Rhinolophus ferrumequinum: one gene and its partners. Each later gene encodes a partner of the first gene's protein in a complex. Links are inferred from orthologs where the notes say so. Each region holds a gene or a part of one and is shown in the gene's direction. Other genes may lie near its edges.

The links.
Region 2: UBTF (region 1) and TAF1C share a complex: the UniProt entries of both Homo sapiens proteins name them as parts of the pol I pre-initiation complex. The link is inferred for Rhinolophus ferrumequinum from reciprocal best matches to the Homo sapiens genes UBTF and TAF1C.
Region 3: UBTF (region 1) and RRN3 share a complex: the UniProt entries of both Homo sapiens proteins name them as parts of the pol I pre-initiation complex. The link is inferred for Rhinolophus ferrumequinum from reciprocal best matches to the Homo sapiens genes UBTF and RRN3.
Region 4: UBTF (region 1) and POLR2H share a complex: the UniProt entries of both Homo sapiens proteins name them as parts of the pol I pre-initiation complex. The link is inferred for Rhinolophus ferrumequinum from reciprocal best matches to the Homo sapiens genes UBTF and POLR2H.

The regions. Positions count from the first base shown.
Region 1 is NC_046304.1:39,309,829-39,317,176, reverse strand, and holds the start of UBTF (nucleolar transcription factor 1), read left to right. Parts: upstream 1-4,029; 5' UTR 4,030-4,928; intron 4,929-5,206; exon of another isoform or gene 5,207-5,389; intron 5,390-6,477; exon of another isoform or gene 6,478-6,699; intron 6,700-6,808; exon of another isoform or gene 6,809-7,179; intron 7,180-7,348. UniProt on the Homo sapiens protein: Recognizes the ribosomal RNA gene promoter and activates transcription mediated by RNA polymerase I (Pol I) through cooperative interactions with the transcription factor SL1/TIF-IB complex.
Region 2 is NC_046298.1:29,691,511-29,699,593, reverse strand, and holds the start of TAF1C (TATA box-binding protein-associated factor RNA polymerase I subunit C), read left to right. Parts: upstream 1-4,788; 5' UTR 4,789-4,953; coding exon 4,954-5,075; intron 5,076-7,476; coding exon 7,477-7,615; intron 7,616-7,843; coding exon 7,844-7,925; intron 7,926-8,083. Other genes in the region: ADAD2 (adenosine deaminase domain-containing protein 2), read right to left, coding at 1-140. UniProt on the Homo sapiens protein: Component of the transcription factor SL1/TIF-IB complex, which is involved in the assembly of the PIC (pre-initiation complex) during RNA polymerase I-dependent transcription.
Region 3 is NW_022680357.1:13,155,013-13,162,912, forward strand, and holds the start of RRN3 (RNA polymerase I-specific transcription initiation factor RRN3), read left to right. Parts: upstream 1-4,858; 5' UTR 4,859-4,929; coding exon 4,930-5,018; intron 5,019-6,082; coding exon 6,083-6,188; intron 6,189-7,003; coding exon 7,004-7,060; intron 7,061-7,900. UniProt on the Homo sapiens protein: Required for efficient transcription initiation by RNA polymerase I (Pol I). Required for the formation of the competent pre-initiation complex (PIC).
Region 4 is NC_046285.1:60,795,311-60,802,565, reverse strand, and holds the start of POLR2H (DNA-directed RNA polymerases I, II, and III subunit RPABC3), read left to right. Parts: upstream 1-4,071; 5' UTR 4,072-4,274; coding exon of another isoform or gene 4,275-4,296; intron 4,297-5,099; exon of another isoform or gene 5,100-5,681; 5' UTR 5,682-5,784; coding exon 5,785-5,857; exon of another isoform or gene 5,858-5,866; intron 5,867-6,789; coding exon 6,790-6,873; intron 6,874-6,956; coding exon 6,957-7,050; intron 7,051-7,255. UniProt on the Homo sapiens protein: DNA-dependent RNA polymerase catalyzes the transcription of DNA into RNA using the four ribonucleoside triphosphates as substrates.

The DNA.
Region 1 (7,348 bases):
GTCAAGATACCAGCTCTTGCCATTTTCATCTATAGATTCAAAGCAATCTCAATAAAAAATCCCATCATGGGGCCGGCTTGGTGACTCAGGCTGTTAGAGCTCCATGCTCCTAACTCCGAAGACTGCCGGTTCGATTCCCACATGGGCCAGTGGGCTCTCAACCACAAGGTTGCCAGTTGGACTCCCCCGCAAGGGATGGTGGGCTGTGCCCCCTGCAACTAGAAATGGCAACTGGACCTGGGGCTAAGCTGCGTTCTCCACAACTAAGACTGAAAGGACAACAATTTGAAGCTGAACGGCACCCTCCACAACTAAGATTGAAAGGACAACAACTTGCCTTGGAAAAAAGGCCTGGAAGTGCACAGTTCCCCAGTAAAGTCCTGTTCCCTTTCCCCAAAAAATCTTAAAAAAAAAAAAAAAGTCCCATCACGTTGTTTTATGGATAGCAATAAATTGATTCTAAAGTTTATGTGCAGTGGCAAAAGACCCAGAATAGCCAATACAATATTGAAGAAGAACAAAGTTGGAGGACTGACACTACTCAACTTCAAGACATATGTTAAAGCTACAGTAATCAAGATAGTGTGGTATTGACGAAAGAATGGACAAAGAGAACAATGGAACGTAATAGAGAGCCCAGAAATAGACCCACATTAATACAGTCAACTGATCTTCGACAAAGGAACAAACGCCATACAATGGAGCAAAGAAAATTGTTTTTCAACAAATGGTGCTGAAACAACTGGACATGCTCGTGCAAAAAAATAAAGTAAAATAAACAAAGATCTTATATCCTTCACACACACACAAAAACTAACTCAAAATGGATCACAGACCTAAATGTAAATCACAAAACTATAAAACTCCTAGAAGATAACATAGAAGAAAACCTAACACGTTTCCCCGAAAATAAGACTGGGTCTTATACCATATTTCCCTGAAAATAAGACTGGGTCTTATATTAATTTTTGCTCCAAAAGACACATTAGGGCATATTTTCAGGGGATGTCTTATTTTTTCATGTACAACAATCTACATTTATTCAAATACAGTCACGTCATCTTCTGGAACATCGTTATGACATACTAAATGTGTCCGTTTGGCTGACAATCTTAACTGGGGCTTATTTTCAGGGTAGGTCTTATTTTAAGGGAAATACAGAAGGTGACCTTGGGTGTGGCGATGACTTTTTAGATACAACACCAGGAGCATGAAAGATATAATTGATAAACTGGACTTCATTAAAATAAAAAAGTTCTTCTTTGTGAAAGATACTATCAAGAGAATGAGAAGACAAGCCACAGACTGGTAAAAAATATTTGCAAATTAAAACAATGAGATATCACTACACAATTATTCTAATGGCCAAAATCCAAAAACACTGGCAATATCTATTAATGTCTAATATAGGCACTTACATCCTAATCCAAGAATTCCATTCCTGGAAATATACCCAGGAGGAATGAATGCATATATACACCAAAAAGTATGCACAAGAATGTTTGAAGCAGCTTCATCCATAATAGTAAAAAACTGGAAACAACTCAAATACCCATTAGATATAAAAGAATAAATTGTGATATATTTATATAGTGGAATACTATATAGCAGTGAAAAGGAACAAACTATATGCATCATAAATTAATCTCAAACACAATGTTGAGCGAGAGGTCAGATGTAAAAGAGTACATACTGTATGATTCCATCCATGTACATGAACTCCAAAAATAGGCTAAACTTATTTATGGCAATAGAGCTCAGAATACTGGTGACATTTGGAGGGGAACATTGACTTTGAGTGGGCTTGCTAAATGCTAGAAATAGTCAACATCTTGATCTGGGTGGTGGTTACATGATGTGTGTGTGTGTGTGTGTGTGTGTGTGTGTGTGTGTAGAGAAAGAGAGACATATATGACATGTATACTATGTATACATATGTAAAAATTAATCAATACAATCACTTAAGATGTGTATATTTTATTATCTGTAAGTTCTACCTCAATTTAAAAAATAAAAATAAATAAATAAGGGATAGTAGCTTCCCTTCTGCCCATAAAAAAAAAGACCGGAAGAAGTCTGTATGTCACTATCTTAAATAAAAATTTAAAAACATTTCCAAGATACATTAAAACACATAACTTTGAAAATAATATATTCATCTGTACACCATCTAAAATTATTCCACAGACACTAGGATTTAAAGTACCACACTTGGGTTAACGCATTCCAGGCACACTAGGGGTTTTATATGACCTGGTGCTGGAATCCTGGCAACTCAGGGAAGGTCTGGGGCCGAGAAAGCTTGCAGCTAGGATTATGCCTTGTCACCAGCCTGGGCTGGGGTTGTGGAATGCTGAAGCTCTGCTCCAAGGCACAGGGCAGAAAACTGGAAGGGAGGGGAGGATGAATTGGGAGATGAGGCAAAGAAAAAGGACCAAGGGCAGATTCCCTCATGCTCTGGCCCAGAGCCCAAGTCCGAAGCTCTTGACCTCACCAGAGACACAATAGATGTAAAACAAGCCAATCAGTTTCCAAGTGGGAAGAGTGCCAGCCATGATTTTTGATGCCCAAGGAATGAAAAATCAATAATAATCATTCTTATGATTTACGTTCATCCTGTTTTATTCCAAAGCACTTTACCGAAAGGCTGTGTCCTGGCCAAGAAGTTCAGGGCCAGGAGCCAGGATACCTGGACTCCAGACCTGCATGTGGAGGACTTGGAACTTTCTTGGGGTCTAAGTTTCTCTTACTGTAATTGTGGCAAGTGACATTGTTGAGAATTTTACAGTTTTACATATATCATCTTGCTTGATTGTCCAACCCTGGTGAGGAAAGCAGAGAATGTAGGATTGCTATTCTAATTTTATAGATAAGGAAACTGGGATCAAGTGAGGTTAACAGATTTGATCAGATTCACAACACTATTAACAAGGTGGGGAAGCTGAGATGTTGGGAAGCTGGGACTTCTGACTCCAAATCTTTTGCTATTTCCCAGTCAAAACAAGAAAGTCAATCTTTGTGAGATGGCTTGATCCCACACAAAATACCCTGTGTATGTTCCAAGGGCACAGCTGGGTTTCTGGGGCTGAAACTTGTGAAAAAAAAAAAAAAAAAAAGCGGGCGGGCGGGGCAAGGGGGTCTCTAACAAAAGTACCGAGTGATGAGTCAAAATTAAGTACAGGGCCTTGGATGAGCCCTGCAAATGAGGAGCCCTAAAGCTTCAGCTCCATTAGCATTACGGTAAATCGGCCTCTCCTACAGGCCCTGCCCACTAAATAATCGGGACACACCAGATCTTGACAGGGTTTTCCTCCCTGTTTGTGAAACGTGGCAGATGTGGGCTGTGGAAGTCCTGGGAAAGGAATTTCATGTCTCCCAGGAGACAGAAGGAATTACAGCAGCAGTGAGGCCCTTCGTTGTGTGAGGATGGAGAAGGCTGTTTGCCAGGGGAGTCCAAAGGGGCTGGTGAACCAGCTGGCCGAGATATGGTCAGGAGCAGTGTTGGTGAGGTTGACTGGCGGCCGGGGAACACGAGCAATGGCGCTGCCCTGGGAGCGGTGGCCCAGCCAGTAGGCATGCCTGTTGGAAGCATTTTTCAGACAGTCTTCTGGCTCCCTGCGTCCCGATAAACCTTCCTCTGAGGAGGGAAGACAGAAAGAGACAACCACAGCCGACGGGAGTGGGAGAGTGGATCGTGGTCCCCGCCCAGACCTTTCAATTCCCGGGCCGCAGGATGCTGGACCGCGGGAGGCCTAGGCGGAGGCAGCCCCGCTGCGATTCTGGGCAGAGAGGCCCGGGTGCCAGGTTCCCCTCGCGGCTCCCTGCCGCTGGCGGGAGCGGGGAGCGGGGAGCGGGGGCGGGGGGACAGCGCCCGCGGCCTGCTTTCCCAGGGCTGGCCAAGGCTTTTTGACAAGCTGATTGCGTGGCGGGGATTGGCTGATCCTGGCGTGACGCCGGTTAACAACAAAGGTGGAGTTGGAAGAAATTAGATTAAAGGAGAGGGGGAAAAAAAAAATTAAAGGGGGAGCTGGCAGGGGACAGGAGGCAGAGACCGAGAGGGAGATGCACGCAGCGCGGTCTCCAGGCTCCGACTTTGCCGGGGAAGCCCCGTTCGAAAACCCACCGGGATTTTGCTTTCCACCCCCACCCCGGCCCAGCTACCGAAGCCGGGGTGCGAGGGATGGCTGCCGCTTCTAGAGAAATCCCAACTCCCACCCTGACACCCCTTGCTACGGCCCAGGGGGAGAACTTTTTGCTCGGACTCCTCGGATCCTAAAGCCGGCGGAGGTGAGGGGCATTGAGAACGACGAAAGACTCGCTCTAAAACCCGGAAGGCCCTCGCGGGGCACCGAGATCGGACCAGGCCGGGTGCTCCCCCAGTTTTTCAATGTGTTGCAAACCTAAGAGCTTTCTTTTTTTTTGTAATACCCCCCCTCCCATTGCTCTCCCCCCCTCCGCTTTGGCTTCAGGGTTGCAAAAGCAAAGAGCAATAAAAAAAAAAAATGCGCACACAGACACACACCAGTGGCGACAAGGGAGAGTTGGAAAGACGCAGGAGAGAAGCAGGAGGCGGCGGGGAGGGAGCAATGGGAGCGGGAATCAGGCAGGTTCCCTCGCAAATCCCCCTCCGGCCCCACGTCGCCTCGCCGGCCCCGGCAGGGGAGCGAGGAGCCAGGCGAGCAGATGGAGTGGAGCTCGCTCTAGGCAGCGGGCTTGGCCGGAGAATGGAGGAGCCGCCAAGCGACCGGCTGATTGGAAGAGAAACGCAGAGCGATGGAGGCGGGGGTAGGAGGACGATTTCTCTGCGGGGACTGGCGGCGGCGTACACGCCCGGGTCGGGCGCTGCAGAGCTTGGCTAGCTTTCAACCCGCGCTCGCCGGCTCCAGCCCCGCGAGCCCCCACCCCCAGCCCTCCCGGCGGCTCCGCAGGTGAGTGCGAGCTGGGGGCAAAAGACCCAAAAGTCTCAACACGCCCGCCCGGCCAACCAAAAAAAAAAAAGGAAAGAAAAGAAAAAGCATTTTTCTTTTCCTTTATTTTCGTGGATCCCCGAGCGCGGTGGGAGGGAAAGGGTGAGGCTGAGCCGCCCCGAGGAGGCGGAGGGGCCAGGAGAGGCCGTGGTGGCCGGGGAGGCGGCGGCGCCGAGGCGGCTCTGACGGGCGAGCGCTCGGAGCGGCGCCGCGCTGCGCCGAGGCGGGCGGGCGGGCGGGCGGAGCGGGGCGGGCGGAGCGCGGCGCGTGGGGCTCGCCATTAGCCGTCGCTCCGCTTCGCCATCTCGGGCTTTGTCTGGCGACTCACTGCCCCGGAGTCAGCTGCGGCGGAGCTACGGCTCGGCTTTTCGGCCCGCCGCACCCCTAGGTGCCCCTGGCCCGCGCTCCCATTCACACGCTGGGTAAGTGAGCCCCGGCGCCGCGATTTCGGGGGAGAAGGGTTGCTGCGAGTGGCGGCGGCGCCGATCTCCATGCGCCCAGGCAGGCCTGAGGAGTCATGCCGGGCTGGATTGAACCGGCCCCGAGGCTCCGCCGCCGGAGCCCGTCACCCCCTCGCCCTTTCCCAGGTGTAAGGAGCAAAGGGATTTTTTTTTTTTTAATTTGCAGGCAGGGCATTTTGTGGGGGTAAATTTTTTTTTTTTTAAGTTTCCTGTGTGTGCTGCTCGGTATCAAGGGGACCGCGAGGTAGGCGCCGAAGCCTTGCGCCGCGCGATCCGCGTGCGTGCGCCCCAAACCGGTGGCCGTGCTCCGGGAATGAGGGTGGACGCGGACCGTCCGTTCCGGGAGGCGGGAGAGGGGAGCGGGCGAAAGCTGGCGTGGAAGCCCGCATCTGAACTGGGAGGACTTAGGGGGAGAGCTCCGGAGCAGGGCCGTGGACACCCCCCGAGCCTCCCCGGCCGCCGGGAGGCCCTCCGGGCACCCTCTCTGCGGCCGCGCCTTGCGCCCTCCCTTCCGCGCCGGTCGAGCCTGCTAGTTCCCCCGCGGGTCTGGCGAGGTCGCTCTCGGCGCCCGCCCGCCTGCCTCGGCTCCGACCCCGCCGCCATCCGGGCGGCTGCGTGTCTCCCTGCCCCGGCCCCCCCCCTCCCCGGCGGCAGCAGCAGCCGCCACCGCCACCACCACCACTACCACCACCCCCCTCCCCTCCTTCCTTCCCTCCGCCTCGGCCGCCCGGGTCCCCCCAGCTCCCGCCCCTCCTCCCAGCTGCCCCCCGCGGAGCCCGCCCGGGCAGGCTGTGGGAGGGAGCGGAGCCGGCGAGGCGGGCGGGCTAGCGCTCGCTCCCCGGGGGTCGGTGTGCGCTCCACGGGGAAGGACGCGCTCGCTGCCCCGCTTCTCCCGCCCCCCCTCCCGCTCCTCCTCCTCCCTTCTCCCTCCTCCTCCTCCCCGCTCCGGCGGCGGAGGCTGCGGCGGCGGCGGGGGGTGTGCGAGCTGAGGCCGGGGCCGGCGGGCGGGCGGCGGGCGGGCTGCCTGCAGGCGGAGGGCGCTGTGCTTTGTGCTTTTCGCCGCGAGGAGCAGCAGGCAGCAGCCACAGCCGCCGCCGCCACAGCAGCAGCAGCAGCCGCCGCCCCAGCGCCGCCGCCGCGCCCGGAGGAGGAGCCGCTGCCGCCGCGGGAGGGAGCTGCGGCTGTGCCCGGCCGAGCGGGGGAGGGCGCCGCCGCTCAGAGCCGGGGAGGGAGCCGCCGGAGCGGGAAGCCCGGAGGCCGCGCTGCATCGGGTAACCCAGGCGGCTTGGGACGCGCGCCGGGGTCGGGGCCAGGAGGCAGGGAGCGAACCGCGGTTGCAGTGGACGCACGGAAAGGGCCCGGGTCGACCCCCGGACAGGGAACTGGGCGAGGGAGAACCAGGGCACTGGAGAGGACGCCGAGAGCCGGGGGAGGGGAGGGCAGGAAGCGAGGCCCGAGCGGAGCCCGGGCCGCGGGCGGAGAAGCCCGCGCTTCTCCGAGCCGGCAGGCGTAGTTCTCCACGGCCGCCGGAGGGGGCATCGGGGCCGGTGAGCGCTGCGCCCCCGCCTCCGGGCCGCCATCCTCCCGCCCTCTCCTTGGCTCGGCTCCCCGGAGGCCGGGGCGGGGGCGCCGGCGGGGCTGGGCCGCAAGCTCGAGGGAGGAGGCGGCGGTTCCCGCCGTGGTCGCGCCTCTGCGCCGGGTTCCTCCGTGCGCGTCGGGGTGGCTGGGCTGCGGCGGCGCCTCTAGCCGGGGTGAGTGGCTCGGGGGCGGGGGGCAGCCTAGGCCGCTTCTCTCCGGCTGCTCGTCCGCCCAAGCGGGCGGGGACGGCGTCGGGAGCCCGAGAGGGGGGGCGGCGGGAATCCGGATCCGGTCCCCGGGGGCGGTGCGGCCGCTGAGCTCCGGGGCCGGCGGCGGCTGCGT
Region 2 (8,083 bases), on another chromosome or scaffold:
GCAGGGGCTGGCTCCGAAGGGTCTTGGTCCAGGCTGGCAGAAGGACGCCAGGGCCTGGGCCGGGGGCTGATCTGCAATGAAGCGGCCAGACGGTGTCTCCTGCGGCCACTTTCTTCGGCGCCTGGGGCCGCTGAAGCCATGGCTGGACGTGAGGACCTGAGGGGACAGTGGGCCGATCTTAATCTTGCGCCGCCCGCGCCGTTTTACACGCGCCAGCTGGCTTCCGCGTGGGGATCACGCGGTGCATCCTACAGCACGTTGCAAGCTCCGCCCCCTCTTCGCTGCTGGCAATGAGAGCCCGCAGAGGTGTGGCAGACAGTGCTCTCAACCAATGGGAAGGCCAGTCTCCTGGACAGCTGAAGCTTGGATGTGGATAGAGTGGACATCCCACTTCAGGTGCAGAGCTTCGGGTGTGGTGATTGGAGAGGCGTGGGGCCTCTCCTAGCAGCCTCTTCGCCCTTAGGTGGTCCTGGGGAAGCGAAGACTAGGGAAGATGTCTGGGGACCCAAGTCCCGCATCTTATATGGCTTCCGCACAAGGATGCCCCAAGCCACAGCCATCACAGCAGCCCGCCCCTAGCCACTTAGCTGAGCTTGGGGATTCTCATCCAATAAATAAAAGTGTTCTCAATTGAAACAATCCCACGGCATAGTCAGGATTTACATTTAAAAACTGTAAACTGTACGCCTTCCTGAAGCCAACTGGAAGTGTTCCTTAGCCAAAATTAAATATTTGGCACCCTGTCCTTTTGTTCTTCAGAAGGGATTTTGAGTTGGTCATAAAAATACCACAAGACAGCCATTCTTTAAGATGAGGGAGTAGGAATGAAGGAGAAATAACAAAATTAAGATGAAATTAGGGATAAAGGCAATTTTCATATGGCCTGCTATGATGCAGAACACAATAGCATGAAGGGGGCCACAAATTTAACCGAGTCTTATAGGAGCCGGTGCTGGGGAAAACCCGACCAGTTACTCAGTTCACAGTCTCTAAGACGTGTCCCAGTGTTGCTGGAGATGCTACCTTTGGGTCTGACAACGCTGACCAGGATTGCTGCTGTGTGTGATCTGGGGCATATACGGAGCAGGTGGTGGAACCAGGACTGTTTAACTTGGAAAGAGTAGATGTGGGAGGAAGAGTAGATTCAACCTCCCAAACATTTCAAGGATTGGCAGCAGGAAGAACCATTCTGGTTTTGGGGTATAGTTCAAAGAGCAGAATTAGGCCCAGCACAGCAGTGTTCAGAAAGGGAATGATGGCGACCCATATCCACAAAGAGACTTGAACAGAGTTGCGAAACCCAGAAAGGTCACCAACAGGAAATTGCATGAACACATGGTGATATAGTCATACAATGGACTATTACTCAGTAATGAAAAAAAATAAAAAAAAGAAACTACTGCACAACATGGGTAAATCTCATGGGCATGTTAAATGTGATAAAAGACGAAGTGGAACTTTAAGCCAACATAATCAGTGAAGAGGAGCTATGGGAGGAGCTAGGGCTTCTGGAAGTTCTTGCACTCTATGTAATTGCAAGAATCCCACACATCAGAACCCTACAGGAAGAAGTCTATGTTTATGGTAAAGCTCCATAGTTCTAACTTCCCCTTCCATTAACTTCCTTTTCCCGTCTCTAAATACTCCTCCATCTTGGCATGCAGGCCAGAGTGTGCACATGGCTTGCCATACTCACATGCCCTGGGTTACAACCCTTCTTTTTCCCAAATCTTTTTTTGGTGATGAGACACCTAGTCATATTATTTTTCAGTTGACAAATGAAAGAAGCCAGACTCAAAGGAGTACCTTCTGCATGATCTTATTTATGTAAAGTTCTTGAACCGGCAAAATTAATTTATGGTGGTAAGAGTCAGAATCGTGGTTACTTCTTGAAGGGGATATTGACTGGAAAGTGGCACCAAGGAATTTTCTGGAGAGATGGAAATATTCTCTGTCTTAAGCTAGGTAGTGGTTGTCTTAAGTTTACATGTATGTAAAAACTCAATGAGTTGTATACTTAAGACTTGTGCACTTTACTGCATGTTAAGTAATACGCAGTAACAAAAGGAAACATAACAGCTTGTTTAGAGAAAGGAAAGAAGGAAGAAATGGAATTGACCTCCCAGTGCAGAAGCTGGATGGGTGGCTCGTAAGAGTGGAAAGTGAAAGAATAGTTTCTCAAAGATGTCCAGGTCCTGATCCCCACGGTCTATTAATATGTTGCGTCATATGGCAAAGGGGAATTAAGGTTGCAGATGGAATTAAGGTTTCTAATCAGCTGAATTTAAGATAGGGCAATTATCCTGGATTATCTGGGTAGGTCCGTGTAATCACAAGCATCGTTTAATAGGGAAGACGGAGACAGAGAGTCAAAATCAGAAATGGCATCACCAGAAAGCCTCAACTGGCCATTGCTGGCTTTATAGACGGAAGGGGGCCATGAACCAAGGAATTCAGGCAACTATCAGAAGCTGGAAAAGGCAAACAGACAAACAAACAAACAAACAAAAAAACCTGGTTCTCCCTTAGAGCCTTCAGAAAGGAACACAGCCCTGCTAACACCTTGATTTTAGCCTAGTGAGACCCATTTCAGGCTTCTGACCTCCAGAACTGTATGATATTGGGTTGTTTTAAGCCACTCAATTTGTGGTAATTAGTTACAGCAGCAAAAGGAAACTAATATAGTCTTCAATTTTTTTGCATGCATACCCATAAAATAGTTTTTAAAAACTATCCCAAATATTTTAGTCACAAGTTTAAATAATTACAAAAGGAGCAATTTTTAACTTATTATTTATTATAATAATCCTTCCAGTATATTTTATCAAAACCATAGAGATGCAGACTGAGCCTATTTCATTTATGAAAAACGCTCTCCAAATGATCTAACTGGCAAAGCCTACTCTCATAGTCAAACCACTCACCTAAATCAGACTTACTCTTTGTTAGAAACAGTCTGACTTTGTTTATTCAACTTAAATAAATGTGTTGATATTTTCTCAGAAGAACCATCTCATTTCATTGATTCAAATATTTATCAAGCATCTACTCTTCTAGTTGTTTGGGATACACTGGTGACCAGCACAGACAGAAGAATTCCCACCCTCCTAGAGTGACTTCTAAATTCTATTTCTGAGATAGGTAGCTGGGAAAGCCCTTAGCCTAACCAAGAAGTTAACATCTCAATGAGATAGCATCACGGCCAGCAATATTTTCTTCTTTTCTTCTGTTTTTAAAAGACTCTTTAGTGAAGTATAACATAGTATGTACAGAAAAGTGCATAAATCTTTTGATGAATTTTCACACACTGAACATATCCATGTAACCAGTATTCAGATGAACAAACAAAATATTGTCAGCCCCCAAAATTCTCCTTCCTGCACCCGTCCATCATTACTTCTTACTGAACCTGCTTTTCTTAGTCTCACAGGGACTCTCTTGCAGGAAAGCAACTTTTTGGAATCGCCCTCCTTGTTCAGTGCCCATCTTGGGCAGTACTACAAAGTGGGGAAAAAAGTAATCGTGAAAGGGGAGATGCAAAAAGGGAATCATCTGATTCCAAACATCTCCCAGATAAAAACTATTAATATACTATAGATGTAAGCCAAGATTCTGGAAATTGATTCTTTAAATGGTTCTCAAAGTGTGGTGCCTGGACCAGAAGCGTGAGCATCACCTGGGAACTCATTAAAAATGCAAATTCTTGGATCCATCCCAGATCTACAAAACTGGAAACTCTGGGGTGGGGCCCAACAAGCTGTTTTAACAAGACCTCCAGGAGATTCTGATACATGATCAAGTTTGAGAGCTACTACCGTGCTTCCCCGAAAATAAGACCTAGCTGGACAATCAGCTCTAATGCGTCTTTTGGAGCAAAAATTATAGTAAAATAAGTAAAATATAGTAAAATAAGTAAAATTTATAGTAAAATAAATACTTATTTATAGTAAAATAAGACCGGGTCTTATATAATATAAGGCCAGGTATAATTATAATATAATACTGGGTATAATATAATACAATATAATACTGGGTCTTATATTAAACTTGGCCCCTAAGCAAGCAGAATCATCATCTGGGAACTTAGGAACTCAAATTATGAGGTCCTACCCCAGCCTCCCTGAATCAGGAACTATGTTCTAACATGTCCTCCAGGTGATGTTGATGCACGCCATAATTTGAGAATCAATGCCTAAAGCTATACTTGCCTGACCATTGGGGAAAACTCATGCATCCCCAGAGTTATCTGTACACCTATATGTAAAGCCTACTTCATAGGATATAAGGACATAGGATATAAGGAATCATTAGGATTCCTACTGACTAATACAGTGCCTCATCGTGGGTGCCCAGAAAGTGTTTGCTGAGGGAATACATTTAATACTTAAAACAATCCTGCAAAATAGGACGTTAATTAAACAGAGGTGGAATTCGAACTCTCCTCAACGTGGCCTTCACTATCGGGACTTGAGGTTTTATTTCTACTGCCCACAGCACCACTTCCACTCCCATTCCCCCTCCTCCCGGAAGGTGGCGCTCTGGGGCGCCCGTAAGGCCAGGCTGGGAGGCGGGACTTCCTGCTTCGAGGGAGCACTTCCGGCTAGGTCCGGAAGACCGTTAATTACCGTTGTGAGGTTGATTCATCGGTGTTTGCTGGAGCTAGGGTGTTGCTTTGGGCTCCCTCGTGTCACGAGGGTCAGGCGAGCGTCACGTGGAGGTCCATGTCTCAGACGAGCTCCGCGAGGCCCGGGCCACGTAAGTGCGCGCGCCCTGCTGGACGGCAGGAAGAGGGGTGCCGGGGCCGAGAAGAAAGCTCGGGTCTGCTCTCCGCGCGAGTCCACGCTCCCCAAGCTGTCTGGTGTACAGCGTTTGATGAGAGTCCTTTGCTGTTGAAATTCTAGGGCCTGGAGGTGGGAGTTGGAAGAGATGAGTAGGGAGGACGTGGCCAAGTAGATGCATGAGGGGAGGGACCGTCCGGATCCCTTCACCCATCTCCTGCTACAGGCCCACTTCCTGCGAGTCCCGCGTGGCAGTAACGCGGCCTTGGAGGTCCGAGGAGGCCTGGAGAGCCTCAGGTGAGGCTGGGAAGTTGAGGTTGCCTTTTCTAGAGGCTTTCCTGAGGTCGCGGGCTCCACCAACACCCTCGGGCTGCCTGGGTTTGTTTGAGGCTGTTGGATTCTCAGGTTACCGGCGCCCGGTAACTTGTAACGGGTCCTTGCCCTTCTCGGAATAGAAATCAAGACAGTGGGCGAAAATTTTGCAGAGAGAAAGGTTTATTAAAGCGAGAGTTTGATGCACCACGGGAGCACACTCCAATAGAGAAGAGCATAGAGCTCACGGAGTTTACAGTCACAGCGGTTTTCATAGACTCTTGGGGCTGGAGGCCACTGCTTCCTCTTTCTCGTCTCCCTCCCCAAAGTATGTTGAAGTGGGTCCTACATGCACCTGTGCAGTGTACCTACGTGCTACTTCATGCTAGCATCTTAAGACTCTGCCTAGCAGAGTGCTTTTTCGTATTCGAATGAAGAAAAGTTAACTATAGGACAGCTCTTTTCACTAATGTGCATGTACAACTTTAGACGCTTTTCCTGAGCCTGCTTATCTCTCCTGTGATTATGGCTCTGTTTGCTCATTGTTGCTTATTGGCCAGGGGATGGGGCTCAAGGTTGTTCTCCCCAGGTACAGGCTCCGGCTATGTGAACCCCTGACTACCCTGTTGTTCATTCATCCCTGGATTTGTTCTTTCAGCTTACTGGTGCTGATTGTTACCGTGTAGCAAACACCAAGGCCCTGGGGATAAAATCCCTCTCCCGCTTTTTAATCAAACAGTGACATCTTTAATTATGTAATTACACGTTGCAGTGCGTGCTCTGGAGAAAGCATGCAGAGTATCGTGGGAGGATGGCGTTGAGGGAACTGGGAGAACTTCCTGACTGGAAATCTGAAGGATGATTTTGTCAAGTAGGATGTTGAGTAGGATTTTGTCGGTAGACCGGAAGGACCCTGGCAATCGCTTCAAGCAGAGCGACAGTGTGCAGAGACCCTGTGGTGAAAAGCCTGGTGAGGAAGAACCTAGAGGAGGTCAGTGTGATTGGAGCCCAGGAACCAGAGACAACCCAGAGACATGCTCACACTGATGTATCAGGGACGCAGCCGCCTCTGAGAGGGAGCTTTTTCACTGCCGTCGGTACAGTCCCTCCTATGGCAGCCAGTGTTTTTCACAAGGACTCACTGAGCATCTTCTTGATTCCTTCCACTGTTCTCTCTGGTCACGTTAAAGGGAATGACAGCAGCAGCCAGGCACCAATAACCCAGGAATGCATGAGATACAGACCCTGCCCTCAGAGGGCTTGCAGTCTAGCGGAAGAGATAAGACTATACCGCTGGGATGAGGCTGACTTGCTGGACAAGTTTGACAAGTAGTTACTGTGTGATGGACACTTGGCGTGGTCCTGAGGATACGTGGATGTACGGAGCTTACAGAATCAGCTGATAAAATGCAGCAGCGGTTCCACGGGAAAAGATTTGTGCATACGAAGACCCGAATGCTCGTGTTTGCTTTGGGATGCACAGGACAGTGGCGGTGCAGAAGTTGGACTGTGAATTGGATGGGGGAAGCTGCTGGCCTTGGGCAAGTGGCTCCTTCCTGAGCCACAATTTCCTAAACTCCAAAATAGGGAGACTAGAAGGCTAACACATGTCGTCCTGTGTTTGGCAGATGTTTACACTCAGTGAGTGAGCGCTGCTGTGATTTGTGCTGTTAGTAAAAAAGAAAAAGAGGGATGATGTGGCTACTTGTACTTCTAGAGCACTTTGTATGTAGCAAAGCCCTTTCACTGAACTTATTTTTATTCAACACATAATGTGTTTTCTGGAAGATACTATACTTGACAGTGGTTAAGACAGACAAATAAGACTCAGTGCCTGGCTTGGGGGAACTTGAGTTACTCCTGGGAGTGTAGCCTGGAGTGTAGGGCGCGTAGCTTACAAATACGTGATTATAATACCTAAGAGCTATGATGGAAGCTGACCCCTTGCCACCTGTCTTCATCCTTTGCCACTGGCCACTCTTCTTGTTCATTGGATGGCCTCCTACTTGTTTCCCAAACACTTCCTGCCCTAGGACTCTTGTACTTGCTGTTCATTCTGCCAGAAACCCTCTTCCCTGTTGTCTGTGGTTCTCTTCCTCGGTAGGTTCAGGCCATGCCAAAAGCCACCTTCTCAACAAGTCTTTCCCTGGCTTCCATGGCTAAAAGCACACCCTTGGCCTATCGCCATCCCCTCCCTCATGGTTGGTTGGTTGGTTTTAATACAGTACTTCCTAGTCTCTGGCAGTTGGCTACATACTCATTTGTTCTTCATTATCTGCTCCTTCAAAGAAGTATACTCCTCTGAGGGCACTTTTCACTCTGGAGGCTATTGGTCAGATTCAGGCCTTTGAGAATGCCAGTGTGACGTGTGGTTCTTATTTTCTAGGATGGATTTCCCCAGCTCCCTCCGCCCCACGTTGTTTATGACCGGCCCACTTGGTCTGAGCGATGTCCCTGACACGTCCTTCATGTGCAGCTGGAGAGATGCACTGACCTTGCCAGAGTCCCTGCCCCAGAACTCCGAGGTAAGGATGGCAGGGAGAGAGAGCCTTCACTTGGCCTTCTCTTTACTGGGTGTCACCTCGGGCAAGTGACAGCTTCCCTGTGTCTGCATTTCTTCATCAGTAAAGTGACGATGACTGTTGTATCAACTCGGCAGGCTCCTTGTGAGGGTTGAATGAGTTAATAAAAGACAAGTGCTGGCGACGACACCTGTCCCAGAAGCATTGTTGTCATGGTTGTGTTTTCCACAGAATAGGGTGCTGCCCTTGGCCAAGGGCCTGTTCTGGGAGCCAGACACCCCTGGGCCCCTTCCTGTGCTGCCACCTGGTCCTGGTAAGGGTCTTGATCCTCAGGGCCCCCTCCCAACCTGCTGCCCCGTCGCTTCTCTCCCCCAGTCCACCCATCCTGAGACCTTCCCACCCCCTGCTAATGCCCTCCACCCCCAGGCTCCTTGGGTATGTCCAGTCGCCTGGGCCCTTCCCAGTCCCTGG
Region 3 (7,900 bases), on another chromosome or scaffold:
TGGAGATAGTGACAGTGAAAAACAAAATAACAGAGTTCAAAGAGTCTCATTTTTCCCTTTGGTCTTATGCAAGACTTCTAAAACTGGAGTTACTAAAAAGTGATTAAATTCAATTCCTTTTTAATTTAGTTCATACTAAGTGGTAGGTACTTCATGGGACATCAAAACAATTCCGTCTCCGCAGAAGTCATTTCCATTCTGAGTGCAGTTAGAGGCTGTATGTGGTATGACTAAGGCTTCCAATACTACAGTCCACAAATCCCATGTGAATTCCCCATCAGCTTAAGATCTCCCACTGCTTGACTTTGTGGCACAAAATGGCATTGGGCCATTAGTTATGATTAACAAAGTCACGTAGTACTTTTGGGAAAGTAGAAATGGGCAGTAATTAAGAACTCAACTCATTTCAGCAGTAGTCTGGTTTGATCAGTCCGAGAATATTTTTCTGGTTCTTGTTTCTGAGTTGGGCTGAGAAGGTGACCTAGCTGTGAGCTAGGTCAAGGCACATCGCTCAAGAGTCTAATCCTCCTCCTACCATGCCATTGTTCCTTAATGTGCTTTGTATCCCACCGTATGTGTTTGCCGTCCTATTTTAATCAGTGGGGAAATGGACCATATAACTAATTCAGTCCTAAGGCTTTGTTTATCCTCTGTTACAGAAGTAAATTTTTAGTGGAACGATTTAGTATGGAGAAACATTTCCAGTACCATAATTGGATTATACCATGGGGACTTGCTGTTACATTATAAATCACTTCCTCTGAAACTTAACATCCACTCAGCTTAGATTGCTGCATCGTTTTGTCCTGCTTTGCAAAAGGACTAATTTGACTGTAAAGAGGGAGAAGGAATGAGTATTAGTATTACTAAAGGGTCCTCAAACAGTCGTTCATTTATTTCAGGAACCCCATTTTGGCTGTTTTCTCAATGGATCCTTTTCATCTCAGCCACCACCACCCTCCGCTAAGCAACTGTCACCTCAACCCTAGGCTGTTAACTGAAATCTTAAGAGATAATCCCTTCTCTACTCTTGCTGTGGGGTCTTGCACATACTTTTCTCCCTGCCTTCAAAGCACTGTCCCCCTCTCACAGCCTCCTGATCCCTTCACCCTTAGGTTTCTGCTCAATTGTCACTTTCTCAAGGGAACCTCCCTGAGCTCCCTAAAGGGGTAAATTCTGCCCGTTATAGAACCACATAGCACCATGTGATCTCCTTCAAAGGACTTGATTTGTAAAATTTACATTTAATCGATACCTGTTCTTTCATTAGATAGTAAGCTGCATGAAGACGAGGGTCTTTACTATTATTATTCGCTGACCCAGTGCCTAGCACAGGGCCTGGGACGAAGGTGTTCAGTAGATATTTGTTGAATAGATGAATGTAGATGTTAACTACTATTAGATTGAAAGTCCGTAGGTAAAGATAAAGCTGAGGTTAGGTGGTGCCTACCAGACCAATTAGTCAAATAAAACTGATTTCTAAGTTAGATACATTTGCCGTCTGAGGAACTGTGGGGAAGAATTAAGGTACTTTTCTCTGTAGCATCCTCCTGGTAAAAATCTGAAAAACATTCCAAATAAGCATTAAACAGCATGAGGATCTTGTATATTGCCACCATTGTTTTCCAACAAAATAAAATAGTAAGTGATTTTTTCCTATGTTCCCCCCAAAATATTAAAGATAAAAATGGAAATGTTATGGCTGTTCACCATATAATTTCATATATTATGTTTTACTTTTTTGTTCTCTAATTGTTGCAAATATGTTTTGTGTCTTCAGTTGGACTGAAAATTTACTAAGGCTATGCTTTATACCAGTGGTTCTTAATTTTGGCGATATTGCTGCTCAGGGGACATTGGTAATGTCTGGAGACATTTTTGCTTGTCACAATGGGGAGAGGGGTTATGCTACTGTCACCTGGTGGATAGAATCCAGAGATACTGCCAAACATTATACAATGCACAGGACAACCTGCTCCCCTCATAAAGCATTATCTGGCCCAAAATATCAGTAGTACCAAGGTTGAGAAGCTCTCTTTTATAGTTCTCTGTAATACTGGGATAAGGAAGGCACTAAATTAATGGCCTTTAGAGAGGATACACACACACAAACGTGTATATATGTGTGTGTGTGTGTATACATATATATACACACACACACATATATATAGGATATATATATATATACACACACGTATGTATGTATACACAAACACATCTTCACTGTTGAGATCTTTGATTAATGAATAAAGTTTTTATAATAATTGGCTCATAAAACAATCATTGACTCTTTGGAAAGAGGAAAGGAACAAATGGGACATCTACTATTTTTTATTTAGCAATTGTTGATCTGGATCCTCCCTACGTTCAACTTTTTGAAAAACATTGGTTGAACATTTATAGTGATCCTCTCATCCACAGCAAAGATTCATTAGCAGCCATTTGGTCCAATGACCTCACTTCTCTAGGTTAGAGAAGGGCACCTGCCCCAAACTTGGCCAGTGAGAAATTCTTTTTCTGGTGCCTTAAGCTATCCTCATGTCCTTAGAACAGATTTTCCTTTTTATGCTTAAGCTAGCTTGGGATAGTTTCTGTTACTTTCAAGCCAAGAAGCTTTAACCAACACAACTACTCTAGGGGTGACTGTAAAATTCATCTCTAGGGGGAAGACTGCCCTTTTGGGAAAAAAAAAACAGTTTAATGGGTCTTCTGGGTATATGAAAGTAAAGCAGAAATTCATTCTGGAATGAAGAAGCTCAGAACAGTCACGAACAACTGTAATGCACCATGAGGCAAAAGGATGACAGCATGGTGGGCTAGGCGGCATCTTTGCTTTATTGTTTTTGTTTTTGGCAGGGGCTCTGTATTTTCATTGATTTGACCCTGTGACAGAAAGAGTTGGGACTCTGGGAAAGGCAAGAGAGAATAAAGGAGGTTTTTATTCTGTCAAGGTGAGTTTGCCCATAAAACTGGGTAACTGAGTAGAGGATCCCCAATGAAGGGACCTGACCAAAGAATTCCAACAGTGAATTATGCTATTTAGTTTTAAGATTTTTCTTGGAAGCTTAAGCTTCCATTCAAAAAATTTTTAAACGTGGCAACCGAGTCTTAGCCATGCTTTGGGAAAATAAAGAAGGACCTGTGTTCAAGCTTATGGAGAACATAATGCTGGGAGTGTATATTGGCACAACTTTGGAAAGCTCTTTGTTTCTTATATACCCTCCAAGCCTACAATTGTACCCTAAAAATACTCTTGCACACATGGTTCAGGAGATTGTACAAGAGTATTCATAGCAATGTACATAATGGGAGAGGGGAGAAAGAAAACAATTGAAATGTTGGTGATAGGAAAATGGTGATATAATTCATGGTATAGTCATATAATGGAATGTCATATGGCAGAGAAAATGAAATATAACTACATATGACAGATGGATTCTAGAAACTATTAATTGAAAACTAGTATAATATAGCATGGAAATAATTTTATCAAATTAAAAACCAAGCAAAAGTAAATAGTATATTGTTTAGGACTATATGGTAATTACATAAAGACAAGTTTAAATTATTTTTTAAATCGGAGTAGTGATTACTTTTGGGAAGAAGCAGGGAGACGGTGGGATTTGGGAGCACACAGGAAGCTTCAATAATACAGGTTAATGTTATTTCATACATTGGGTGGTACATCACAGGTTTTCATTTTATTGTGTTTTTAAGTTTACATTAACATTCTTTTATACATGACAGACTTTAAAAATGAAAGAATAAAGTAATTGTCAAATTGCTTGGCAGTACAGGTTAAACTTCTATTGACAGTGTATGAGAGTGTCAATGAACTGTGATTTAATTTTTTTTTTCCTCTGAGGGTGGAGGGGAAGAGATGCCTCCTTAAACTGCTGTCTTGAAGCATCTTTGTGATCTAGGCTGCAATTTCCTCTACTCCTGGGATGATGATGATGATGGTTACCCAACATTCCACAGGAACTCTCAAGCAGTGAGGGAAGAAATAGTGGAACCATATGGAGACAGGAGAAAGACAGTTACTGATTTTATACCATTTTATACCATTGCAAAACAGAAGAGTGCTTTATATTTAACAAGTTGTTATAGCTGGGATAATGTATTTTTTGATAGTTCTGTACAGAGGTTGAAACATTTTCCCCTCTTAGAAATTGAGGGGAGGGGCAGTCCCTCTTTCCTTCTGCCTCCCCAGCACCCATGCCTTGCCACGTGCTGTTCCCTATGCCTGGAACACCCTTCCCTGCTTTGTTGGTCTGGCTCCTAATTTTAAGTTCAAGGGTTAACGCCTCTTTGGAAACTGCCTCCTCTATTTTATTTCTCATCCCAGCAGCACCACAGCTCTGAGGTTTTTTAGGTAAGTCCCTTGTCTAAGTCTGTTTCCGTGAGGATAAGATAATCTTGGGTGTCTGTGAAGATAGTGCAGTGGGTACAGAGCCCCAGATTCTGGGTCGAGCAGCCTAGTTCGAATCCCCAGTCCGCCCCATCTCTCTGAGGGTTTGGGTTAATCACAGAGCTTCAGTTTGTTCAGTTTGATTGAGGGATCCTTTGAATCCAAAAAGTAACTACTCGAGGAACTCAGCTACCGCTTAGCACCTCCCGGTGTCCCGCCCTTTTTTTGGGATCCTCAGAATTGGACAGAGCCAGCCCGACGGACCGCTCCTCTCCCAGGGCGGACTTGGGCCGCTCTAGGCCCCACACCTCACTCAGTGGAGGCAGTCCTCCAAATAGGAGAAGGGACCAAATAGGGATGGGGGAAGAAAACGTTTGCGGCGCTCTAGCCTTCGAGTTCCCTACGCTCTCCACACGTGGGCTTCCTGATTGGCTGAAGGCCGCTTCCGGGACAGAGGCGGTACTAGGACGAGAACGACTTCCGGTCGCGAGGTGAGGTTGTCGCACTTATCAGGCCCAATGGCGGCCCCAGTACTTCACACGCGGTTGCCCGGGGATGCGGCCGCTTCGGCCTCTGCGGTCAAGACGTTGGGGTCATCGAGAACTGGGTAAGACTCCGAGTCGCTTCTTCTGCGCGGCTGGGACGAAAGGCCAGGACCGGGATTAGAGAAGCGGATCTTACAGAGCCTGGGACAGCGCTAATGGAGTGGGGTGGGAGCAGAGGGTAGAGGGTCGTCTCAGGTTCTGAAGAGTAAGCCCGTGCCCCTTAAGTGGATACCAAAGGTGAGAAAGGATCTGGAGAAATGAATCTGTTCTGTGTTCCAGAGTCCCCTTTTTCTCCCCACTGGGGTCCTTCATGGCGTCCCAGGCCTGGGTTCTGCATTCTGCTCCTTTACTCTTCCCTCCCGCTTCTTCGTCTAGATTGGGAAAGAATTCTCCGGGCTATTTGGATTATTTATCAGCCGAATGCTATCACTGATGGCAAATTGAATCTTAACTGTTTTTGTTTGAAATTTGCTCCGACACGCTTTTTTTTTTTTTTTTTTTTTTTTTTTTTTAGCTTGTTCAACTTTAAAGCCCCTAACCCCCATAAAACACTGGGGCTTAACTTTGAGTCATTAGTAGGATGGCATTCATTTTTTCCTCCTAATCTGCTCTATTTAAAAGAAGCAAACTATGTAAAACACTTAGCATAATATGTTTCATAGTATTTATTAAGTGCCTACCTATTGTGTTAGACACTGGAGACAGTAATTTATCTAAAGACACAACGTTCTAAGTGAGGCAGGAAACTTGGAGAGTTTAATCAAGAGAGCAGATATTTAATAACAGCATGATCTGTTCTAAGTTTCTGAAAGATCATTAGATCTCTGAGTGGAGTTCTAATAGGAGAGAGAGGCGTTACTAGAAGGAGCACATGAGGTTTGGTGTGTTGCCCCCCTGCCCCCCCCAACCCCCTGCCCATCCTCGCCAGCTTTATTGAGATAATTGATATATTGAGGTTTGGTTTTTGTTTGTGAGGATTGTTGGGGGATAAGAGTGGAAGCAGGGAGGCCAGTTAAGAGGCTTTAGAGTTGTCCCACTGAATGATAATGGTTCAAAAATGTTGACTATTACGATTTTTATCATCCTCTGTCATACATTTAATAGCTTGATAATCTTGGTTGTACAGGATTTCAGATATGCTTACATTAGAGAGTGATTTCTTCAACTCTCCCCCAAGAAAAACTGTTCGGTTTGGTGGAACTGTAACAGAAGTCTTGCTGAAGTACAAAAAGGTAAGAGTAGATAATATGTGAGGTTTGGTGTTTTCCCCCCAGCTTTATTGAGATATAATTGACATACTGAGGTTCATTTTTGTCAGAATACAATTATAGGTCTTATACCAAAGATGAGTTGACATAATAAGATGAATTTTTAGATACCCATCTTGAAATCAGATATTTAATAACAGCATGATGCTGTCAGCTCAAATTCAGAATAATAACCTCTTTGCTGAAGTTACACCTATTCAGCTGCTTCATTTATATGGTATCTTTAAAAAACTTCAGCAAATGCTAGACTCAAGAACCATTAGATCACAGCATTTTATTTCTTAAGGAATTAGCTAAGTATTAACTTTGGGACAATAAACCAGCTCTATTAATATGGATTTTTGGGGGGGGGTTTGTGTTAGCTTAGAAGTGATTCTTGTAAATCTCAGTAATGGAGGAAAACTGCGAATGACTTATTGTATTTAAATTGAGTCATAATTGACATGTGACTATTTTATGTCATATGCATTTATATTCATACATGTGAGTGGATAATATCTTGAAGTACCGACAATCATATTCAAATGTCAGTGCACAAGTATACTGAAATATAAATGCTTTTTAATTGTCATTTGCTTTTTTCCAAGTCCCCTAACTCCACTAACATGGGTTTTTAAATTTTGTAGTCGATGATTTTACAATCCACAATTGATGTGTGGAAGTTACAGTGTCCCTATTGTAATTTTATCAGATGTTAGGCATAGTTAAAAGTCCTGCTGTTGATCTTTAACCGGAAACCACAGCAAGTAAAACTTCATTTTTCCCCTTTTCTTGTTAAGGGTGAAACAAATGACTATGAGTTATTGAAGAACCAGTTGTCAGATCCAGACATAAAGGTAATTAATTTTGTGTTTGATCATTACCAAACTAACAGCTGTTAGTTTGCACTTTTGTTTGATCCTATGCCATCCTTTAGAACTTACTCTCTCTCTCTGATCCATTCTTACTTTAACCTAGTGGTTCTCAACCAGGGGCAGTTCTGACCCCTTTTATTTGGTGATAAACTGGAGACATTTTTGGTTGTCACAACAGGAGGAACGGACGTGTGTTACTGGCGTGTAATGAGTAGATGACAAGGGTGCTGTTTAAATAAAATTCTCCACAACAATGAATTATCAAGTCCAAAATGTCAGTAGCCTCAAAGTTGGGAAAGCCGGCAACTCTCATGTTTCTCCAATGCTAAAACAGTAAAACAGATAAACAACAAAACATGACTTGTCTTTCAAGTCACTGTTTCATTGTTTCAGACTTTAAGATACAGTATATACCTGTCTTGTAAAAACAACTCAGTATACTTTGTTTCCCTTTTCTTCCTTTATTGCCCCATTTTGGAAAGTCTGTTACCATACAGATTGTAATCAGATTGTGGGGGATAAAATCCCATCTCCACTGTTACCCAGTGTGTGAACTTGGTCAAGTTTTGTAACCTCTCTGCCTCTGTTTCCACTTTGTAAAACCAGAAAAACAATAGAAGTTTTAAGTAGAGGTTTTAAGAGAGTCCAGTGAGTTAACATATGAGAAGCCCTTAAACAGCCCCTCACTCAAAGCAAGGGCTTTTGCTAGTTGTTCCTGCCGACACGGTCCGGATTTTGGTTTCCCATTCATGGTTAAGTCCACTGCTGTAATTACTATGAGAAGATTACTAGTGATTTCTCCTGCTGATTTCAGTGGGCTTT
Region 4 (7,255 bases), on another chromosome or scaffold:
CGGCACAGGCAGCGGCCAGCATCTCTGTGTTCCGGGATTCGTTCTGGCCAGAGTGGTGGAAAGGGGTGTCAACATGGGCTCAGCAGCCCACGCCCTCCTCTGCCTTTCCCCAGGGTCCCCCTTACCTCATAGATGCCCCCGAAGAGGGAGAGGAACTTGCTGAGCAGGGCAGCACACATGCTTGCTATATGCACAAAAGGGCCCTGGGAGGTGGGGGCAGGCAGTGAGTGGGGAAGGGGCACAGCCCGACCCTGCCCTGGCTTCTTCCTCCACCAGGAGGGCCTCTTTCATTCCCCAACCTGCAGTTACCTCTTTGCCAAGGGGCATCCCGCTGCCCAGAGCACAGGTCAGCCCAATGACCTTTGCTACAAAGGTCTTGAGGGTGAGGTATTCCTTTAGCACCACACCCCGCAAGATGGTCTTCATCTCAGGGATGCCGGACCCTGGAGTGGGTACAGTCCCAGGAGAGTTATTTGATGTGCCCATTTCAGGGGGTTCCACCTCTGCCCTCCCCTCCTCTCCTACTGTACCAACAGCCTGAGGAGCCAGGATCTGTGTGAATCCCGCTGAGAATGTGATGAGGACGACAGGATAGGTGACCCAGGCCAGGTACTGGAGGAAGAGGCTGGTGTTCAAGCCCCGGGACATCCACTGCTGAGCTGTGGGGAGAGGACATGTTGCCAGACCCCTGGTGTGCATACCCAGTGCCCGCCTGGCCACTGGGACATACTGATATGATGCACTGTCCAGGGAATATCATACAGAACCTCGGTACGCGGAGCAGGGAGGCGGCCCTAGAGAGCCTTCACTGGGACAGAGATCATTGTAGGTAAGAGGGTCAGTTGGAGAGCGGAGGCAAGAAGTTGTGGCTTATGGAAGTGGCAGTGATTATGTCTGAAGATGGGCATTCAAGCTGGCCAAGGAGCCAAATACTTGGACAAGTGTGGCACAGAGGAAGCAGAATGGTGCTTCCCAGCCCTCCTGCTGCCAGCCCTTGTCCTCACCCTGCAGACAGGCAGCGATGGCATAATCCATGGCCCAGCTGACCAGTGCCATGAGGAGCCCCAGCAGGACCAGGAAGATCCAGTCTTCACCAACTCTGGACACTAGGAACTTATGACAGCGTACGGAACAGACTGGGAGCAGGAAGGGAAGAATGGTGGGCTGTCACCAAAGTGCTCCTACCCCTGTCCCCCCAGCTAGAATGGCCTCCATCCCCCTCAGCACAGTACAGCCAGATCCCCTGCCCCAACCCAGGTCTCACTGCGGCACCGGGCACAACGGCTCTGTCCATATTCCAGGAGCTCTGGGGGAACCCGCGGGGACAGTGGACCCCTCCAGGGCTCAGGCCCTCCTAGGCGGATCCGAGCAGCTTCCTCTTTGGCAAAGGCCCCGAGGTCCTGGGTATACCGGCCATACATCTGAGCAATGGGAAAGATGGGGGTTAGCAGACATGTGTGGGCTGAGGGGGATGCAGGGAGGGCCCCTGGAGCCTCAGCTCCCCTTCTCCCAGTCCCCACATTATATACCACCTCTTGAACCCACACTCCCCACTTTGGCTTGGGGTGTGGGAACAATGCACATTGCAGACTGTGGGGGCTGTCCTGGCCTGAGTGATGGGACAGCCAAGGTACAGGAACACAGCTCTAGGGGGTGGCAAAATAATCAGTCCTCTTCTCACTGAGGAGGAGTGGGAGGGAAGGCCCCAGAGGAGGAAAGATGGAAAAACCTAACACAGTCTGAAAGTGGGAGGAGGGAATGTCAGAGAATAAGGGATGGTCAAGGGCATATGGGTAACAATAAGGGCCTTAAGGAGCTGGGGGCAGCTGAGTTGGGCCTAGGAGCAGGCGGGGCCCCAATCCTTATCACGTTCCTGCCAGGCCTCTGGCCTGTGACCCACTCAGCTGCACCCCTCCCACCTACCCTAATCCCCTTGTTCCCATTCTCCACCCCCACCCCCCACCACTTTGCCAGCCCAGCTAGGAGTAGAAAGTCTCTCTGGGTAGGTGGACAGTACTTGGTGGCCTCAGTCCACTCTGGAGCTGCCCTGAGTCCAGTGGTGGGTGAGGGGGACAGAAGAAGCTGTGGCCAGGCTGTGACTGCGGATGCTGGGGTGATGGGGTGGGAGCGTCTCTGAGCCAAGGCTAGACCAGCCAAGCTGGGTGTGTGTTGGGGGGTGGGGAGTAGATTCCGGCTGCCACCCGCAGAGCTTCAGGACACAAGGGCTCCTGTTGGGACAGGGGGTGGGGAGGGAGGGAAAGATAGGGACAGAGAGAGAGAGAGAGAGAGAGAGAGAGAGAGAGCGAGCAAGGAAAGGGAAGAGAGGGAATCAGGGAGGAGAAAAGGAGGAAAGAGAGGCCAGGGGAAGGTGCAGGGAAGAAAGAGGAAGAAGGGAGGAGGAAGGGAGAGAAAGAAAGTGGAGTATAAAGAGGCAGATAAACACTGTTGGTTGGAGCTGGGAGGTGAGCCTGTGAGAGAAAGACAAAGGGATTGGGAGGAGAAGGGGGAGAGACCGGAGCAGAGAGTGCCCGGGCGAGAGCTTGACCCTGGGAACTCATTCCAGAGATAGAGACCCAGGCGAAGGAGATGGAGATGTGCTGGTGCAACAGATAGACACCATTTCAGAGCCAGGTGCCTGGCTTCCGTGACCAATGCCCCACTCTCAGCCTGTGCAGACGGACAGACACCTCCCCCCCATGTGAAGGCTTGCCCCTCTACCCTTGCTCCACCCCCACCCCTGCCACCTCTCCCTGTCATCCTGTTCCATCCAGTCACTCCCTCTCTTAACTGGGCAACTCCCAGCCTCAATTACAGCCCAGGCCCCCTCCTCCTGGAGAGGTTCCCTCCCAGACTCCTTCCTGGGCAAATTCCAGGACCAGCTGTTACAAAGGAGACACAGGGCCCACTCCCTTCCCAACAGTTTGGGTCCCCCACTCCAGTGACTACAAGAAGGGGCAAAAGTCTTCTCAAACACTAAGTTACAGTGGTGGCCATGAGTCAGCTCTGAGCCCCAGGACCCCTGCTTCTAAGGAGGTCAAGGCACACCCCTGGGGTGGGTGGGGGCTGGCTACTCAAGAGTGAGCGTGGACAAAGGTCCCAATTCCCACATCCATTCCTGCTTGACCCATCCTCCCTAAAGCTCCTGTCCCCTAGGGTGGCAGGCCACCTTTGTTCCAGGGAATAGACTGAGGGGTTCCTGCCAATGCTGGGTTGCCAGCCTGCAAAGGAAGGGCCTGGGTCTAGATTTGGGTCTGATCATCTTTCTGCATATAGAAACACTCCTGATGCCTAGCACAGTGAAATGCACTTACTGGAAACAGAGGGCATGTAATGGATGGTGGAGATAAGAACGTAAAGAGAGAAAGTTCAACAGTGTGAGCAGTGCTGGGGAGGAGTAGTGGGGTGCTGAGACGGCTCAGGTGGCGAGGGGGAGGAGCAAAGAAAACGTGGGGGGGAGGTAAAGGGAAGGACACCTGGAACAAGTACCTGATGTCCTTGTCCTATGCAGGTCCCCAGCCTCAGCCAGAAACCTGCATGCAGTTTTCCACCCCTTAGCCCTTCAGCCTCAGTTTCCCCAGCTCAGAAGGCTGGGGTGAGGTTTGGATAGGCCCCCGGTCCTCGCGCTTCCAAGGGTAACCCGAAGCAGCAGTTCTGGAGCGTACACTTCAGAGCTCGGCTCGGCTTCACTTACCAGGGTCTGCTCGTACTGCAGCGCCCGCGGCTCCATCCCTTCCTCTGCCGCGGCGGCCGGGGCGGCCGCCATCTCCGCGCACAGCCCTCGGGCCTCCCACTGCGGCTCGGGCTCCGGCCCGGACTCGGCTCCCAGCCCGCAGAGCCCGCACCCGTACCCGTCCGGTCCCCGCAGCCCGGGCGGCCAAGTGCAGAGAGCCTCACGCTCTCGTCCCCTCCTCCGCGGGCGGGCAGAGGGCGGTGTCCTTCGTGGTGCTCCGCCCGCCAGCCCATACACAGGGACCGGCCCAGCCTGGTGGGGGTCTGAGTTGGGGCGGCCTCCCGGGCTCGGGAGAGGCGGTAGGGGGCGCTAGGAATGCTGGAGCCGGCGCCCCCACTTCGCGGAGGCCTGAGGCTAAGACCCGGAGGTTCCGCTGGCACGTGCAGGGGCCCGGCGGTGTCTGCGGCCCTGGCGGGAGGAGCTGGAGACGCTGGGGCTCGGCTTGGGGCGGAGGACGGCAGAGCCGTCTAAATCAGACTCTCTTCGGGCCCAGTTTTCTCTCTAGAGTGGCTCTCTTGCTTCTCCCGAGGGGCCAGCGGCTCTGATGCGCCGCTGCTCCGCCCGGGGTGAGAAGCAAAGCTGCGGGGACTCGGAGGGGAACGCTAGGCCCGTGGAGGGGGGCCCTAGGGGGGTGTGGAATGCTCGGAGCTGAGACCCTCGGTCTCTCTCATCCTCTCCCTCCTTCCCCCCCCCCCCCCGCGGCTGCCCCAGGGAGGTGCACCTGGAGCAACCTGGCCTGCAGAGGGATGCGGGGGGCCAGGGGGCCGGTGATTGGAGGTAGGGAGGGAAAAAGTGAGCCTGAGGAAAGGGAGGTCTAGGTGCCGGAGAGGCGGCTCCTGGGAGGCGGGCGTGAGGGGACAGAGGTCGCTTCTCCCTGGCAGGGCCCAAGGAGAAACCCGAGTAGCTGCTGACGTCTCGCTGCCTGAGGGGAACGGCCTGTTGGGGCTCTGCGTTCTCTATCAGGGTCCAGAGAAGGATAGAGCAGAGGGTGGGGTGAGCACAGGGTGGATGGACTGTGTGTGTGAGATAGTGTCTGAGAACAGACAGTGTGCGGCAGGAGGCAGTACCAGGATGAAGGGGCATGTGGGAGGCAGAGGTGGTGCCCCGGAGGAGGGGGCACTGCCCACGAAGGGGTCAGTGAGAGGAGCCAGCTCTCTAGAGGAAGGGACTATGTAAGGGAAGAGTACCTGTGGGAGAGGACAGTGCCAGGATGAAAAGGCACATAGATCAGTGTCCAGAGGGAGAGGGCGTTGGTGGGTGAACGGGCGGTACCAAGCTGGAGGTACAGTGTTCAGGAGCGTAGCGTGTTGGGGTCAATACAAGGCTGAGAGGGCGGCGTGGGGGAAGAGAGCAGTGGGGGAGGGTGCGGTTCCAGGGGAAGGGACAGTGCAGGCTTTCCTCTTCCCCTTAGTGACATCATGGCAAATTCCCAAACTTGAAAGGACTCAGCTCAGGTGACATCCAGCTGGGCAGAGCCGGCCCGGGCCGGCCTGGGGGGCCTTAGTACCAGCTGGAGGGGTTGGGTACTGCGCCCTGCTGGGCCAGCGCTCTGGGGGCGGGGTTCTGCTCCGCCCTCCCTTGGCGCGGACTGTGCCCTCGGCGGGCACGCGGACCGGCAGGGTAGGGCTAGGGCCGGGCTCCTCTGGGCCAAGGATCAAGGTCCCTGGCTGGCGTAGGCCCCCAGGCATTCCAGTCTTCCCTACTGGGATTCTAAAGAGGGCGCAGTAGAGCTTCAGCAGAGAGTGAGAAAACGCGCCACCTCGGCCAGAGGTGGGACCTACCGTCATCCCGCCCTAGGGCGGAGTTATTTGAACTTGAGACCCGCCCTCAACACTGAAGCAATTGTTCGGGGCGGAAGTTAGGAAGCCCCGAGAGCCAGGCGACGGAAGTGGCCGTCTTACTGCTTGTCGGTGCGCATGCGTTGTTGTATTCTCTGACTGCTGCTTTTCAGGCGCTGCGTTTTCCCCTCTTCTTTCCTCCACGCGAGTGGGTGCACGTACTCTTAGTCGTGGTCGCGCGCTAAGCCCTTGTGCTGCTCTCGTGGCCCTTTCACCATGGCGGGCATCCTATTTGAGGATATTTTTGATGTAAAAGACATTGACCCGGAGGGCAAGAAGTTTGACCGAGGTAGGTAAGGTATGTAGGGCAGTTTGGGGTTAGGGGCTAACCTCGTCCTTGGGGACACGTCCCTGTGCCTTTGGTCCACCTAACTCACGTGGTCTGCCCCTAACGGCAGGTCCTGATGTACGACCTCTCTTAGAAAACGTTTTATAGATGAGAAAAGTGAAACTCCGAACTCTCTCTGGGTTCATACATGTTGTGCCCTCTTCCTGCGTGGCCTTTTCGCGTGGTGCTAGTAAACTCCTGGGCATCTTTCTAATCGCTACCCACTCTGTGCTAGGCGCTGTATGGTGCACCTTATACACATTTTGTCTTACTTATTCGTTTCAAGAGCCTCCATGAGTAGGTGGCGTCTCACCCTTTTTGCTCTAAGAGCTAGCTGCACAGCGAGTTATCCGACTCCGGAACCTATATTCTTGTATTGCCCTTAGAGTCTTTAGCTCTTTGTGAAGTCCTCTCTGATTTACAGTTGACTGCTTGGAAAAATAAAGAGTAGCTCTTTATTCTGTCATTGATCTATAATTGTTTCTGGTGTCTCTTCCTTTGCCTAGAGACTGAGATGTACTTCAAGACAACACCAGTTCTTACACTTCTGATAATCCCCTCTGCACAGCACCTGGCACAGAAAGACAAAACCTTTGGATGAATGAATAACTTTCCCAAAGTCAGGTTGTTTCTTAATCACCAAGGCAGGCTTAGAATCTGGATATTATTTATCGCCAGAGGACCTTTGATTCATTTCTGGGGATTATGCCCACTGGTCATAGTTTTCTCTCCTTATTGCCTGTTTGGTTCTAATTGAGCCTGAACTTCTGTGAGAGCAGATGAGAGGCCAGTGGAAGCACACTGTGTTAGATTGAGTGTTCTGTTGCATATGGTCCCCCAAAGTGGGGTCTGCAGGCAATTACCTCTGCCTCTCTTCCTCTGCTTCCCTCTAGTGTCTCGACTGCATTGTGAGAGTGAATCTTTCAAGATGGACCTTATCTTAGATGTAAACATTCAGATTTACCCTGTTGACTTGGGTAAGTATTGAACACAGACAATAGCAGAAGACTTTTTGTCATTTCAGCTGTTCTTCACCCTCAGATATTACCATTATTTTCAGGTGACAAGTTCCGATTGGTCATAGCCAGTACCTTGTATGAAGATGGTACGCTGGATGATGGTGAATACAACCCCACAGATGATAGACCTTCCAGGTGAGGGAGTGGAGAAGGGAGTATTTGAAATATGCCTGAGGATTAAGTAGATAAGTGGTATAGAAAGACCCTTATTTAATTCATGGAATAAATGATTATTAGCAGAATCTGAGGAACCTTGAGGAAATTGCTGCCCTTAAGAACTCAAACACCCAGGTATTTATCCAGAGGTTGCATGTTTGTGAGTTGTAGCTTTCTGATGGTG